Linked DNA regions of Mytilus edulis. The protein of the gene in region 1 interacts with the protein of each later gene in a pairwise test. Links are inferred from orthologs where the notes say so. Each region holds a gene or a part of one and is shown in the gene's direction. Other genes may lie near its edges.

Region 1 (7,154 bases):
TACCAACCGTACTGGAAACCCTATGATTTCTCTTCTATCTTGACCGACCAACACCTGTGAAGTTATCACTGAGAATCTGCTTATAGATTCAAAAACCTACCACGTTATGATCTTAGACTGCTGTAATAATAGTACCAAGCACCTCACATGAAACTACCACGTTCAGGGGCGGATCAAGCCATTTTAAAAAGGGGGGTTCCCAACCCAGGATAAAGGGGGGGTTCCAACTATATGTCCCCATTCAAATGCATTGATCGGCCAAAAAAAAGGGGGGGGGTTCCAACCCCCGGAACCCCCCTCTGGATCCGCAACTGACGTTATGACCTGAGACTATTTTGGTAGTTGTACCAAACACCTCACAGAAAACTTCCGCATTATAATCTAAGACTACTGTTAAAGTAGTACCAAGAACCTCATATGAAACTATCCCGCTATGATGTGAGACTACTGCATAGTAGTACCAAGCACCTCACATGAAACTACTGTGTTATGATCTGAGACTACTGTAATAGTAATACCAAGCACCTCACTCGAAACTACCGCGTTATCTGAGACTACTGTTATAATTATACCAAGCACCTCGGATAAAACTATCGCCCTATGATCTGAGACAACTGTAATAGTAGTGCCAAGCTCCTCACATGAAACTACCACGTTATCATCTGAGATTACTTTCATAGTTATACCTAGCACCTCACATGAAACTACCGCATTATCTGAGACTACTGTAATAGTAGTACTGAGCAAATCATACGAAACTACCCCGTTATGATCTGAGACTACTGTAATAGTAATACAAAGCACCTCACATGAAACTACCACGTTACGATCTTGGACTGCTGTTATAATAGTACCAAGTACATCACATGAAAGTATCACGTTGTGATGTGAGACAGCTGTACTAGTAGTACCAAACACCTCACATGAAACTACCTCGCTATGATCTGAGACTGTTGTCATAGTAATACTAAGCACCTCACAGAAACTACCGCCTTATGATCTGAGACAACTGTAATAGTAGTACCAAGCGCCTCACATGAAACTACCACGTTATGATCTGAAATAACTGTCATAGTAATACCAAGCACTTCACATGAAGCTACCTCGTTATCTGAGACTACTGTAATAGTAGTCCAAGCACCTCAAACGAAACTATCCCGTTATGATGTGAGACTATTGTGATAGTAATACCAGGCACCTCACATGAAACTACCACGTTATGATCTCAAACTGTTGTAATAATAGTACCAAGCACCTCACATAGAACTATCCCGTTATGATCTGAGACTACTGTAATAGTAATACTAAGCACCTCACATGAAAATGCCGCATTATGATCTGAGACTACTGTAATAGTAGTACCAAAAACCTCACATGAAAATACCGCGTTATCGGAGACTGCAGTAATAGTAGTACCAGCCACCTCGTATGAAACTATTCCGTTATGATCTTAGACTACTGTAATATTAGTACCAATAATTTCACATGAAACTACCGCATTATGATCTGAGACTACTGTAATGGTAGTACCAAAAACCTCACATGAAACTTATGCGTTATGACGTGAGACTACTATAATACTAGTACCCATCATCTCACATGAAACTACCGCGTTGTGATCTAAGACTACTGTTATAGTAGTACCAAAAACCTCATATGAAACTACTGCGTTCTGAATTTAGACTACTGTAATAGTAGAATCAAAAACCTTACATGGAACTACCGCATCATGATCTGAGACAACTGTCATAGTAATACCAAGCACCTCAAATGAAACTATCGTGTTATGATCTATAACAACTTTGGCAGTAGTACAAAGAACGTCTCATGAAACGACCATGTTATGATAAGAGAAAACTGTAATAGTGAGTACCAAACACCTAACATGAAACTACCGTGTTATGATCTGAGAAAACTGTAATAGTGAGAACCAAACACCTAAGATGAAACTACCGTGTAATGATCAGAAAAAACTGTAATAGTGAGTACCAAACACCTCACATGAAACTTTGCGTTATAAACTGCGACTACTGTAATAGTAGAATCAAAACCTCACATGAAACTACCGCGTTATGATCTGAGCCAACTGTAATATAGAGGGGGACAATAGCATGTTAACAACACCTCGATTTTGGAAAAAAACAGTCAACTACAAATGCAGAAATACTGATAACAGTTAACACAGTAGGTTGAAAACAATTAACAGTCTAAATTTATTTTAGATAACAGTTAACAACACCTTGAAAAAGGCCAAAACAGGTTAACAAAAAAATGTATCCCCCCTTATCCCCCCACGTAATAGTTAGTACCAAAAACGTCACATAAATTCCCGCGTTATGATCTAAGACTACTGTAATAGTAGTACCACTGAAGAACCTCACATGAAGAGACAACTGTAATAGTAGTAACAAGAACTTCACATGAAACTACCGCGTTATGATCTAAGACTACTGAAGTACGAAGAACCTCACATGAAACTACTGCGTTATGATCTGAGACTACTGTAATAGAAGTACCAAATACCTCACACAAAACTACCGCGTTATGATCTGAGACTTCTGTAATAGTGGTATCAAGAAAATCACATGAAACTATCGCGTTATAGTTTGAGACTATTGTAATAGTTGTACCAATAACCTCACATGAAACTATCGCGTTATGATCTGGGACTACTGTAATAGTAGTACCAAGAACTTCACATGAAACTACCGCGTTATGAACTGAAACTATTGTAATACTAGTACCAAGAATCTCAGATGAAACTACTGCGTTATGATCTGAGACTGTTGTAATAGTAGTACCAAGAAAATTGCATGAAACTACCGCGTTTTCGTCAATTCTGACCACAATTGCAAGACTTTTTTAAATGTCCCCATGTGTAATAAAATCTAGAACCAATATGATGAAAGTGTAATACAGATGGAAATTTCATAGAAATTCCACATATCGTGCATTTACGAATCTCCAAACATAAAACGACTAAACTATACACGATAATGGGGTAAATAATTTTGACGTGGCCCAAATTTGTGTCCGCGTTGATTCATTTTGAGCTGCCACAGACAACTTTCAATGGAATAGGATTTAAAATTAAAAAGTACTTTTCTATGTAGCTATGATTAGTGTGGCGTTCATTATCACTGAACTAGTATATATTTGTTTAGGGGCCAGCTGAAGGACGCCTCCGGGTGCGGGAATTTTTCGCTATATTGAAGACCTGTTGGTGACCTTCTGCTGTTGTTTTTTTTTTCTATGGTCGGGTTGTTGTCTCTTTGGGACATTCCCCATTTCCATTCTCAATTTTATGAATAAGTTGTTCTCAGATTAAACTGATTGGAATGAATTATATCATTCGTGTTAAATTCTAAATCTCCTTCGGCTTCCGGAAATTCTCTTATTATATATAATTTCGTATTTAAAACAACTCTCACTGCTGTGACGGCAACAAATTTAGATAAACACAACGCAGAGGGGTCTTACATTCAAATTTTTTCAAAGGAGTATATTAATTTTATTCAAAGTTATAACAAAAACTCACTTTTAAATCTTTGTACTTGATTCCTTCCAAACTGTTGAAATGACATTTGAATGTATTTTAATTGATGAAAGTTTAAGTAATACGATTTATACAAGATTCAGTTTTTCATTTATATGGATATTCAAATAAAATTATAATAAAATGTTAGCGGAGTTGCGATATTAGTTCAGGAGATTTATTTTCTTATTTCTATCCTCCATTTAAATTAATAAGTTATTTAGCATAAGAAAACCTACTGACAATATTACATAACAAACAGAAAAGAAACCCTACAAAGTGTTTTACGTAAATCGCTCGGTCTGAAAATGCGCATTAGGCTATCTTTGATTGAATTATCTTTATATATTGAACATACATAAATTATGAAACTAAAAATCGCATCATGCTCGGTTTAGCGTAGTAATTTAATTTAAAAGTTTTGAAGTGCATTGAATTCCTATATTTGGCTATTGTTTGACTTCAAATGCGTCAGTGGATATTTTAAAATTTCACTTATCATGCTGAAATATATACATAATTCTGTTTTTTTTGTTAATGCAGTAATAATAAATGTATACAAAATATCAATGCATTAGTTTGTATAAATTATCAGTTCTTGATAATTTGCAGAAATTTTCTACTGGCTGTTTTGGATTTGCTTTGCCCAATTAGAATTGTTCAATCAATCAATGTTAATCAAAATACTTCTACTTTTGCAAGACTTGTCTTAGACAATGACGGAAAGTCGACCAAAACCTTGACAGTGCGCATGACTAAGGAAACTTGTAAAACATTAGAACTGTTTTAATAAGTAGTTTATTACTCTTTTTTCATCGATGGGTTTACTTTATACCGTGTGTTACAAAATGCTACCTGTTTTCTTGTAGTATGCACGGTTGAACGGAAAATTTTCACCATGAATGAACAATCATTTTTTCAATGGGATTTGGTACGCCAGCCTCTTCAGGGTCAAGCCTTTGGCATGGGGGCATCCCTTCTTGATTTCAGGTAAGCTTAGCGATAAAAAAAAATATATCATTTATATTAAGAGAAAATATCAAATATGTGTTTTTGAATATTTTATGAGAAAGCAATACAAATAATGAAAAAATGAAAATAAAAATAAAAATAAACATAGTGTACGAAACCTGCATAATTGCATTCATGTTCGATAAAAAGTATTAATTAGCGAATACAGTTGTAAATTAAATCATCAACGTCAGAAAATATCCAATTCAAATTTCATATGCTATCAACATTTATGGCTAAATTCAAATTTGATTTTCAAGTTTCACATATACGCAACTGGACAATTAGAATATCAATTATACATTAATATATTTTATGTATGTTAAGCCCAGCGTAATTTTACTCTAGAAAATTGAAAAATCAAACTCCGATAGTAAATTATATTTTTACGAATAAAAATAAGGAGACTTTCATGCACCGTTACATAGAAAACTGTCTTAATAAAACTGAAAGTACAATAAATTTTTAACCTTAACTAATTAATAATCGCAAAGACATTAGTTACATTGTCGTCAATTTTTTCCCCCAGTTATTTAAAACGATTGTAATTCCGAAAAGAACAAAAAATAAAAGTGTTAATTTGAAAGAAAAAGAAATATCAAACAACCTTTTACTGAACTTAAGACGAAGCATATATGTGCAAACAGAAATCAAATATTTCGTTTATGTGTTTTTATTCGAATTGAATTACAAAATTACATAAATTACTATAAAATACCCCTTACTTCTATCCTAAAAACTGGAATATATCTTTTACAACTGACTTAAGTTTTAACCTATATAGTCACGTTATCTTGGTTTTAACCTAACTTTTCTCCATTTGATATAGAATTATACGGACACTTCAATTTTTAACTGAGATTTTATGTATTTATTTCATGAGTATCAAAAGCATTTTAGTAGAAAATAAAACTGTTCATTTATTTGCTTTTATTGATTGACAAAATGGCAGTACCGATTTGTTTAAAAAAAAATCAGGATCAAGCACTGATTTCAGATTTTATTTTTTATTAATTTCTAAATAATATACAAAAATCTGATATGTAACTTAATGATTAATGAATTAAACACATTCTTCATTACATACATTAATGCCTTTCAGTGGTGTTGGTGAACTATGCATCGTTTTGTGACAGATGCATGTTAAAAGAAATTTTCTCGTTTAAAAAATGTAAATAAAACAAATTCCAATTTAACCTCAAAGATTAAACAATAATCCCACAAAGATATCCTCCCTAATTATTCATGTGTCCTGTATGTGTAATATCATTCATCTTTAAGTCAAATTTATTTTTAATGAGACAAATACAACGTATATATTAGATATAACAATTTTTGGGGGTTGAACCGCCTTACATTAACATTAAAAACAAACGAACCGTATTTTACATGTAAAAGTTTCAGCCTCAATTTAATTCCTAGTATTCTAATTTCTATGTGTTGGCATTTTGTACATTTTACTACAAAGATTGTGGTTCACTGTTTTTTTATGTATTTAATCTGCAGTTTCTATAAGTTATTGACAAAGCATTTATTATAAACCATATAAACTTTAATAAAGCTAAATGAAATGGCGAAGTGCATGGCCATTTGGAAAAATGTTATTTTAGAGGCATATGAAAAACCCTGCTTGTTTTCAGAATAATTTTGACAGTTGGAGAAATTATGTTTTATATCTCATCAAAACGAATACTTCGAGAAGGTTTTAGCTGTTATATTGGTGACATCCAATTGGGGAGGGGGGGTTCCTTCCTACCCTTACTTTCTTAAAAACATATATAGAAACACTACAAGAAATTGAACTCTTTAGTTGGTTAAGAAGGTATAGGTTGTATCCGTTGTGACATCTGCTGGCGTGTTGCATGAGTGGTACCACAAGGAGAACAAAAACTACTTATCTCATCCATAGATGTATTACATCTATGTCTCATCTGAGCCATCTCAACACATTACTTTACTCCAGGGAATTGAATGGGATTTGTTTTAAATCTATATATACTATATATATGGTTTTCTGTGTATTGTTTTGTCCTTCCGCAACGGAGTTGCATAACGTTCTTGGACGGATTTGAACTGTCCTCTTTTTCTTCCCTTTCTAGTTTGCATGCTTAAATGAATTAGAATGTGAATTTTGTGTAGAAAAAATGAATTTCAAGAGTTTTTTTTAAATTCATTTTCATTTTTGATCGTTAAACATTTTTTTTTTTAATTATTATTGATTTTATTCTAACATGTATTGCCTAAAAATAATATATTATACATATGCGATCTGGATTTAAAGATTTTGTAATTAAATGATGATTCAGTCACTCCCTTGTAAAGCTATCTTAATAAACAGAATGAAACAAAGATAACAGTTGTCGTTAATTTAACCCCAAAAAAATATTATAGAAAATAGAAGAAAATGAAACAACCACCAAGGTATACAGACAGAAAAATTAAAGTATTATGTCAGTGATTTGTTTTTTACTTCTCTGGAATTACACCACTAGAAGCGTTCAACTCTAAAAATTTGAAAGCAGAAGATTTAAAAATATTAAGATATTTTAAAATTCATTCGTTGTATGCTTTCATAGAAATAGACATGGTTTATTAAACACGGACCTGA
Region 2 (7,283 bases), on another chromosome or scaffold:
CATGTTTGATGCCAAATTAAGAGATTGGACCCTAATTTCATGGTCCACTGGACATAGAAAATGATTTTGCGAATGAAGCATTTATTTACTATGGACACATTCTTGTTCTTCTGTGTCTAAACAAAGTGTTTATAAACTTACTAGTTTGTGTGAAATATTACTAGTCTTGAGCATCAGGCTTGTTGCTAAAGGTGCAGACTGATGACGGGATTGCTTCCCTTCATTAGTAGGTACTCAATCGGCCATAAGCTGTTAAGCTTATTATAACATGTATAAGGAAGTATAGGAATGTATAGAAATGGCAGATTTGATTATATACCTATTACTTCCCTCAGAATATATGATGTAAAAAAATGATGTATTTGTTTCAAAGAAAAGACATTTATAAAATCTGGATAATAACAAAAATGCAAGTCTGGCAGGTTTATGTTATTTGTAATGTAAGTTGATTTTATAATCATTAGGTATTGATTGAAACAGTGCATTTGCATTGCCCCTTTCTGGAAAATTTGCAATAAAAATCCAATGAAAGATCATAACACTTAACATGCTTTTAATATACAACATCCTTCAAAAACGCCTCTCTTCTTCTATGATTGAAATACAAAAATGTATTTTAAAAAAGCCTCAAAAATGAAAACTTCTTTATCTTAGGACACCAGATTGACCAGAATATGGCAGAATATAAATTTCATGATGATATTATCATTTATGGAAATGAAAATTCACCTAGGTAACCCTATAATATTACATGTATCTAAAATCAATAAGCAAGCCTTAATTATTAGAGGATTGAGAATTACCGTTATAGTATCCATACATGTACATGTATATGTTTGAACATAGAAATGAGGCCAAAACAGCCATTTACAGGTAAGTTTTAAGAGACAAATATCTAAGATTTTATTTGGTCATTTTATATTTTGGTTCCCAGAGTTATTTTTTGTTGTTATTTCTTTGGTTGATAAAATGTAAAGTTAAAGCTTGAAATTTGAAACTGTGAACATGATGAGTACAATATCAAATTGCAATATATTAGTAATTGTTTTGCCAATTTATTGACCGACATGTCTGTACATAGACAAATGTGTTGAGCTAATTTATTCTGCAGAAAATATTGCTATATATTTCTACTTTGTTCCCCACCATGTTTTAATGAATGGGACACCAACAGCTGATTTGAGATTATGAATGGGACACCAACAGCTGATTTTAGAATTATGAATACAACTCTTCTCATCTTTCCAACAGTGATTTGTTTCACTTTAATTTTTCTCAATTCCTTGCACATTTATGTCAGATCTGTTAATTTTTGTATCCCAACTTGGCCATTAGTTATCTTGATGTAATCAGGGGTGTACAAAATTTTACACCGTTGTTGAAAATTCATACACCCTGAGACGCAGCCTCACTTACTATTTTGATGTAAGGAGAGACTGATCATAATCTCTTACTAGTAAATTGATTAAAACATTTGCATGGTCTGAAATAAGATTTTGTACTATTCCTCCCTACTTAAACAAATTCTCATTCTTTTATAACTTATAACTTATAATAGCATTATAATATCTTATAATATATACATATATATAGATGTCCAATATCTATCTATATGTAAGTTACATATATATATAGATGTCCAATATCTATCTGTATGTAAGTTACATATATATATATAGATGTCCAATATCTACCTGTATGTAAGTTACATATATATATATATATATATATATAGAATTGGACATCTAATAGATGTCCAATATCTATCTGTATGTAAGTTACATATATATTTATAGATGTCCAATATCTATCTGTATGTAAGTTATATATATATATAGATGTCCAATATCTATCTGTATGTAAGTTACATATATATATATATAGATGTCCAATATCTACCTGTATGTAAGTTACATATATATAGATGTCCAATATCTACCTGTATGTAAGTTACATATATATAGATGTCCAACATCTATCTGTATGTAAGTTACATACATATATATAGATGTCCATTACCTACCATTAATTATCAATGTGTTTGTCGTGGATAGGTGTTATATAAATATGATAGATCATAAAGTATCACCAATGCCTACTAATCAATAATCTTGCTGAGTGTTATAAAAAACATATTATGTATTGTTTATAGTACACAGTTTTTTTTAATTAAAGATCATATCCCTAAGTCGCTGTTCCATAAATTTTCCAAAATTTATATAACAAAATGTATTGTGTTGATGTTGGTGTTGAGGCTTATTTTTGTTTGTTAGAAATATGAAATACTGTTGTTTTTACAGACAATTTGTTTCTATTTTTTAATCCTATCCAATAATTTGATGATTACCTATAAGTATTAATGTCATCTTGTAGTTCTTTGATTTTTGATATTTTTACAATTGTCAGTGACTTATTTCTTTAAACAACTTATTGACAGTCAAACAAACATCAAAAGTAATGAAGTAATCAATTTAATCTTGAAATTTTCAGGTAAAATTGATCGTATGTTAGTTTGTAATTGTAGTTCCTCTGAAATTACATGACAAAAATTAAGTAGAGAATACATAATTACTATGTAGGTTTGCATATTGACATGACATTATTTTTTTTCTAGGAGTTATACCCCTTTGAACTTATTTTTTTTTGTCTACATACTACTGCAACTTGTCATGGTATCTCCTTTGAAACCACACAACAGAATTTCATGAATCTTTGTGGAAAATAAAGAGATGCAATGTAGATGTGCCTATTGACGTGAAATTAGGATTGATTTTTTTCTCAAGATGTTATACTCCTTTGAACTTAGAAAGTGGGCTGAAATATACAACTGCAACAGTTTGTCTTCATCACTCCTCGACGTCCACACTTTGTAGTTAATGAGGACATTATATATAGGTGTGCATATTTACAATAAATCTTTTATCAGTTGACTTTTTTAGAAGTTACAAGTCTTGAACTTGGAAATGATTAATCTGATGAGATTTTGTTTGCCAGTGACAATGTGGGGAAAGTGTATATGAGCATGCTCACAAAAGCTCTTTAATTTAAAATATCCACATATTTTGTCCCAGGCTGTATTTATGCCTGCACTGTAGTGTAGGGACTTCAATTTTACCCTTGTCTGTTTGAACATCCCAGTATTGGTTTTCGTTCTCTCTCTATATATATATATAATATGACTTTAGTTTGCTGCTAGATTTTTGGGTTTCTGGAAACCTTTACAAATATTTGTTTGCATAAATAATGACCATACATTCTATTTCTTTGCTAAAAATATTAGAAAAAAAGTGTTCATGAAGAAAACTTCGACTAATTATTTACTTACCAATGTCTCTGTTGTCATAGTTAATTTGGAAATAGAGTAGTCAAAATTAACATGCTGATTTCATGCATTTCCTCCATTTAAAGTAATCTAAAGTTATTTTTCTTAGAAGCATTTGCACCAGCTAAAATGGCTTATCCAAATCTGCATTACTGTTTCAAATGTTGGCTATCAAATAATGCCATTGGTTGAATAATAAAAAAAAAAATCATTTACATTTCCAAGGTTATGTAATACAAATTAGATAAATTATATACATGTAACACGCTTTTGGAAATTGAATATGTTTGTTCTAATGAAATGAAGATTTAATTATTTCAATGAACTTGACCCATTAATTAAACATTTGACATGACATGAGTAAATTTCCCTGACATTTATGCCATTTACTGCACACGACAAGGTAAAAAAATCTTGTAGCAAAGTTAAATGTACATCATGAAATATGTTACAAACGTAAATTGTAAGGAGAAGTGCATACAGTTGTTAAAAATTCCTCCTTTTGGCATTATTATATTTGTAGTGTGTTCACATGTAGAAAGGATTATAAATGAATCTTAACACCTTAGTTTGAAATTTTGTGGATTTTCACATTTCAATTGGCAAAGATCATGATGTGTCTAATTCCAGAAAATCATTTCATTATAATTGTGTAGGCTGTACAGAAAGAGATTTTTTATATATTGACAGTCCCAGAGGGAATTAAAAAAATGTGTACATATATGAGAATGGAGCAAATATGATGTTTACATAATCAATACTTTCGATTTTATTCTTAATTTTTATATGATTAGTATTACATGAAATTATGTACAATTTAAGTTCAATTTGAAAATAATCTATGAAAGACAAAATATAGCAATAAATGACAACATGGAAGCTTAATTTAGATTATCTGTAACTCGATATTAATCTGATACAGATTATGTGTTTCAATCCTAAAAACACCTAAGCTTAATCCACATATTTATGCAAACGTCAAAAGACTTTGCGTTAGATTTTGCATTTAATTAGAAATAAAAATTGATGAAAACAAGATGGATTATTCAAGAGGAAGTTACCCAGGTTACGAACAGACATCTCAAAATTCTCAGATGTACTTGCCTCAGCAATATGGACCTCCTACCCATCCGTCTTATGGAAGAGTTTTTTATGGTTTGTAAAAGATTTTTTATATTGTCTTTTTCAATATTTTCTCTATAATGAGCCGTCAGAAAGATTGACATTAACAGCTTTGTTTTTATGGTTATAGACCGAGATGCTGGAATATATGTAAAATAAGGCGGTTAGTTTTCCTGTTTGTCTTGTTTTACATTGCCTTTTATAGCTGACTATCAGTTTGGCTTTGCTCATTGTTGAAGGCTTTACGGTGACCTATAAGTGTTAATTTCTGTGTCATTTTGTCTCTTGTGGAGAGTTGTCTCATTGGCAATCATACCACATCATCATTTTTTTTTAAATATATAAGAGTGATTCATAAGAAACTAGATGGCTTTTATTTTTCTTTTGTTCATGAATTTATGTTTCATTGAAATTTATTAAGAGTTAATTTTCCAATTCTTTTATTGAAAAAGAGCACCATGGAAAATTTAAAACTAAAGAAAGAATAGTTGTTGTGTATTGGAAAAGACTAGCATAATTGGTGACTAAAAAAAATAATTTCCTGCTCTAGCAGATATTTTATTATTACCTGTCATGAAATGAATCATGACTGGATTAATTCATTGTCATTAATACATGTACTAATTTTCGTGTATAAATCTATATTTTTATACAAACTCAAAAAGGGTATTACATTGGCGTCGTTGTTGTCGGCATCCGAAGACATTTGTTTTTAGCACTTTAGTATAAGTTAATATCAATCTATGAAATTTTAACACAAGGTTTATGACCACAAAAGGAAGGTTTGGATTGATTTTGAAAGTTTTGGTCCCAATGAATTAGGGGCCAAAAGGGTCCAAAATTAAACTTTGTTTGATTTCATCAAAAAATGAATTATTTGGGTTCTTTGATATGCTAAATCTATCTGTGTATTGAGATTCTTAATTTTTGGTACTGTTTTCAAATTGGTCTATATTAAGGTCCAAAGGGTCTAAGATTAAACTTAGTTTGATTTTAACAAAAATTGAATTCTTGGGGTTCTTTGATATGCTGAATCTAAACATGTTCTTAGATTTTTGATCAACTTTTTAATCACAATCCAAATTCAGAGCTGTATCAAGCATAAATGTTGTGTCCATACTTGCCCAAGGGTTTGACCTCTGCGGTCATATAAAGCTGCACCCTGCTGAGCATCTGGTTAAAATATATTACAGTGGTTATTCAGTGACCTTTGGGGTATCACAATAGCAACAAAAGTAATACTTACCATCAAGATCGAGTTAGTTGATATCTTTGCCATTCTTTTCAAACAAAAAAATGACTTACTATAGTATGAGTCACTGAATAAAAAGGTATAATTTTGAGATGAAAACTTCTAGCATATTAAATAGATTTCATAAATAAATAATTCAAACCATTGTTTTGTAGATATATATTTTATAGCTTTGTCTTCTAAGACAAAGTTATTGTGTAATTATGTTTCTTATAATATTTTCTATACAAATTACTGATCTGCTGGCATTAAAGGGAAATAATTTTTATTGAGTTATTGTTCACTAAAAAAATAATCAATGATACCAGGCTTATGCTTTTGCCTACAAAAAAATCCTCAATACGTCTTGAATAAAAAAAAATTGAAATGCCAAATTAGGAGGAAGTTGAAGGGCATTTCGGACATAAATTACAAAGGTTTTGCCAAATACTGCTTATAAGTTATCTTGTGCTCCATGGTAGAGAATCCTTAGTACTTTGAACAATGCAAAGTCTTGCAAAACAGCTGTTAATCTATAATTTTACCATATCATAAAAACTCATGTCAAAATTAAAGGAGTAGGGGCATTAAGGCCTGGTTTTGGCCCAAGAAAATAAAATGTTTGATAACTTTTTCAAACATAATCTTTAGAAATGCATAGGGTCAAGAAATATAAATGAAAAACATTAAGATTCTTATGTGATGACGTCACAATTACGTCATAATATATACTGTTTTCACAAAAACGATGAAAATTAAGAATTTATGCAGTTTTCTATCTTTATTTCTGTTGTGAAAACATCGTGCGCAGCCAAGAAACAACAAAATAATTTAACTGAAGCTTTATCATTACTATTGACAAAATCTCACCAAATATAAAGTTGTTTCTTGGGTGCGCACATACTTTTCCAATCGAAAATATACTTAACAATTTGATGAAAACAAGGAAAATCACAAAATTTTACAAAATATGCAAATTAAGGCATGATTTGTTGCCATGGTAACTTGTTTAATGTCCAAAATTATTTTGTTTTTCTGAATACCTTCTACCTGAGATACTTTTCAGTAATTTTAAAATATGTATGATAACTTTTAAATTTGCAGTAATTTTTGGGCCAAATAAGGGCCTTATTGCCCCTAATCCTTACTGACTACTAGACTGGTGATAATTTACGGGGGAATTTGTATGATTTATAGAATTTTGAATGTGTTCAATAATAGGTTTTTAACATTTTTTTTTTCAAAATTTTAATCATCTTAAAAATAAATTTCATTGTTCTTTTCAAAATAGAGGATAAATGTTTAATAATCATAAAAATAATGTTACAAACAAATTAAATGAGGAAAGTTGATATTTGTCAGACAAAAATTGTCACAAAATTTTGCTGATTTTCAGTAATGTAAATTATTTCCCTTTAATGGTAGCAGATAAGTAATTGCTTTAGAAAAAAAGATCCAAATTACAATTATGCACTAACTTGTTGTTGGAAAACGGAGCTATAAATTATAGACTTACAAAACAATGTTTTGAACTATTTATTTATAAAATCTATTTATGATAGAAGTTTCCTTGTCAACATTAGACCTTCTTATTCAGTGACTCGTACT

What was found. The genes of interacting proteins can lie anywhere in the genome.
Region 2: the proteins of protein trachealess-like (region 1) and aryl hydrocarbon receptor nuclear translocator homolog interact in a two-hybrid assay, tested with the Drosophila melanogaster proteins (3 studies listed by BioGRID). The link is inferred for Mytilus edulis from reciprocal best matches to the Drosophila melanogaster genes trh and tgo.

The regions. Positions count from the first base shown.
Region 1 is NC_092346.1:74,486,518-74,493,671, forward strand, and holds the start of protein trachealess-like, read left to right. Parts: upstream 1-4,074; 5' UTR 4,075-4,433; coding exon 4,434-4,525; intron 4,526-7,154. UniProt on the Drosophila melanogaster protein: Transcription factor, master regulator of tracheal cell fates in the embryo, necessary for the development of the salivary gland duct, Malpighian tubules and the posterior spiracles.
Region 2 is NC_092347.1:3,964,037-3,971,319, reverse strand, and holds the start of aryl hydrocarbon receptor nuclear translocator homolog, read left to right. Parts: upstream 1-4,279; 5' UTR 4,280-4,359; coding exon 4,360-4,477; intron 4,478-7,283. UniProt on the Drosophila melanogaster protein: Heterodimers of tgo/trh are involved in the control of breathless expression. Plays a role in the cellular or tissue response to oxygen deprivation.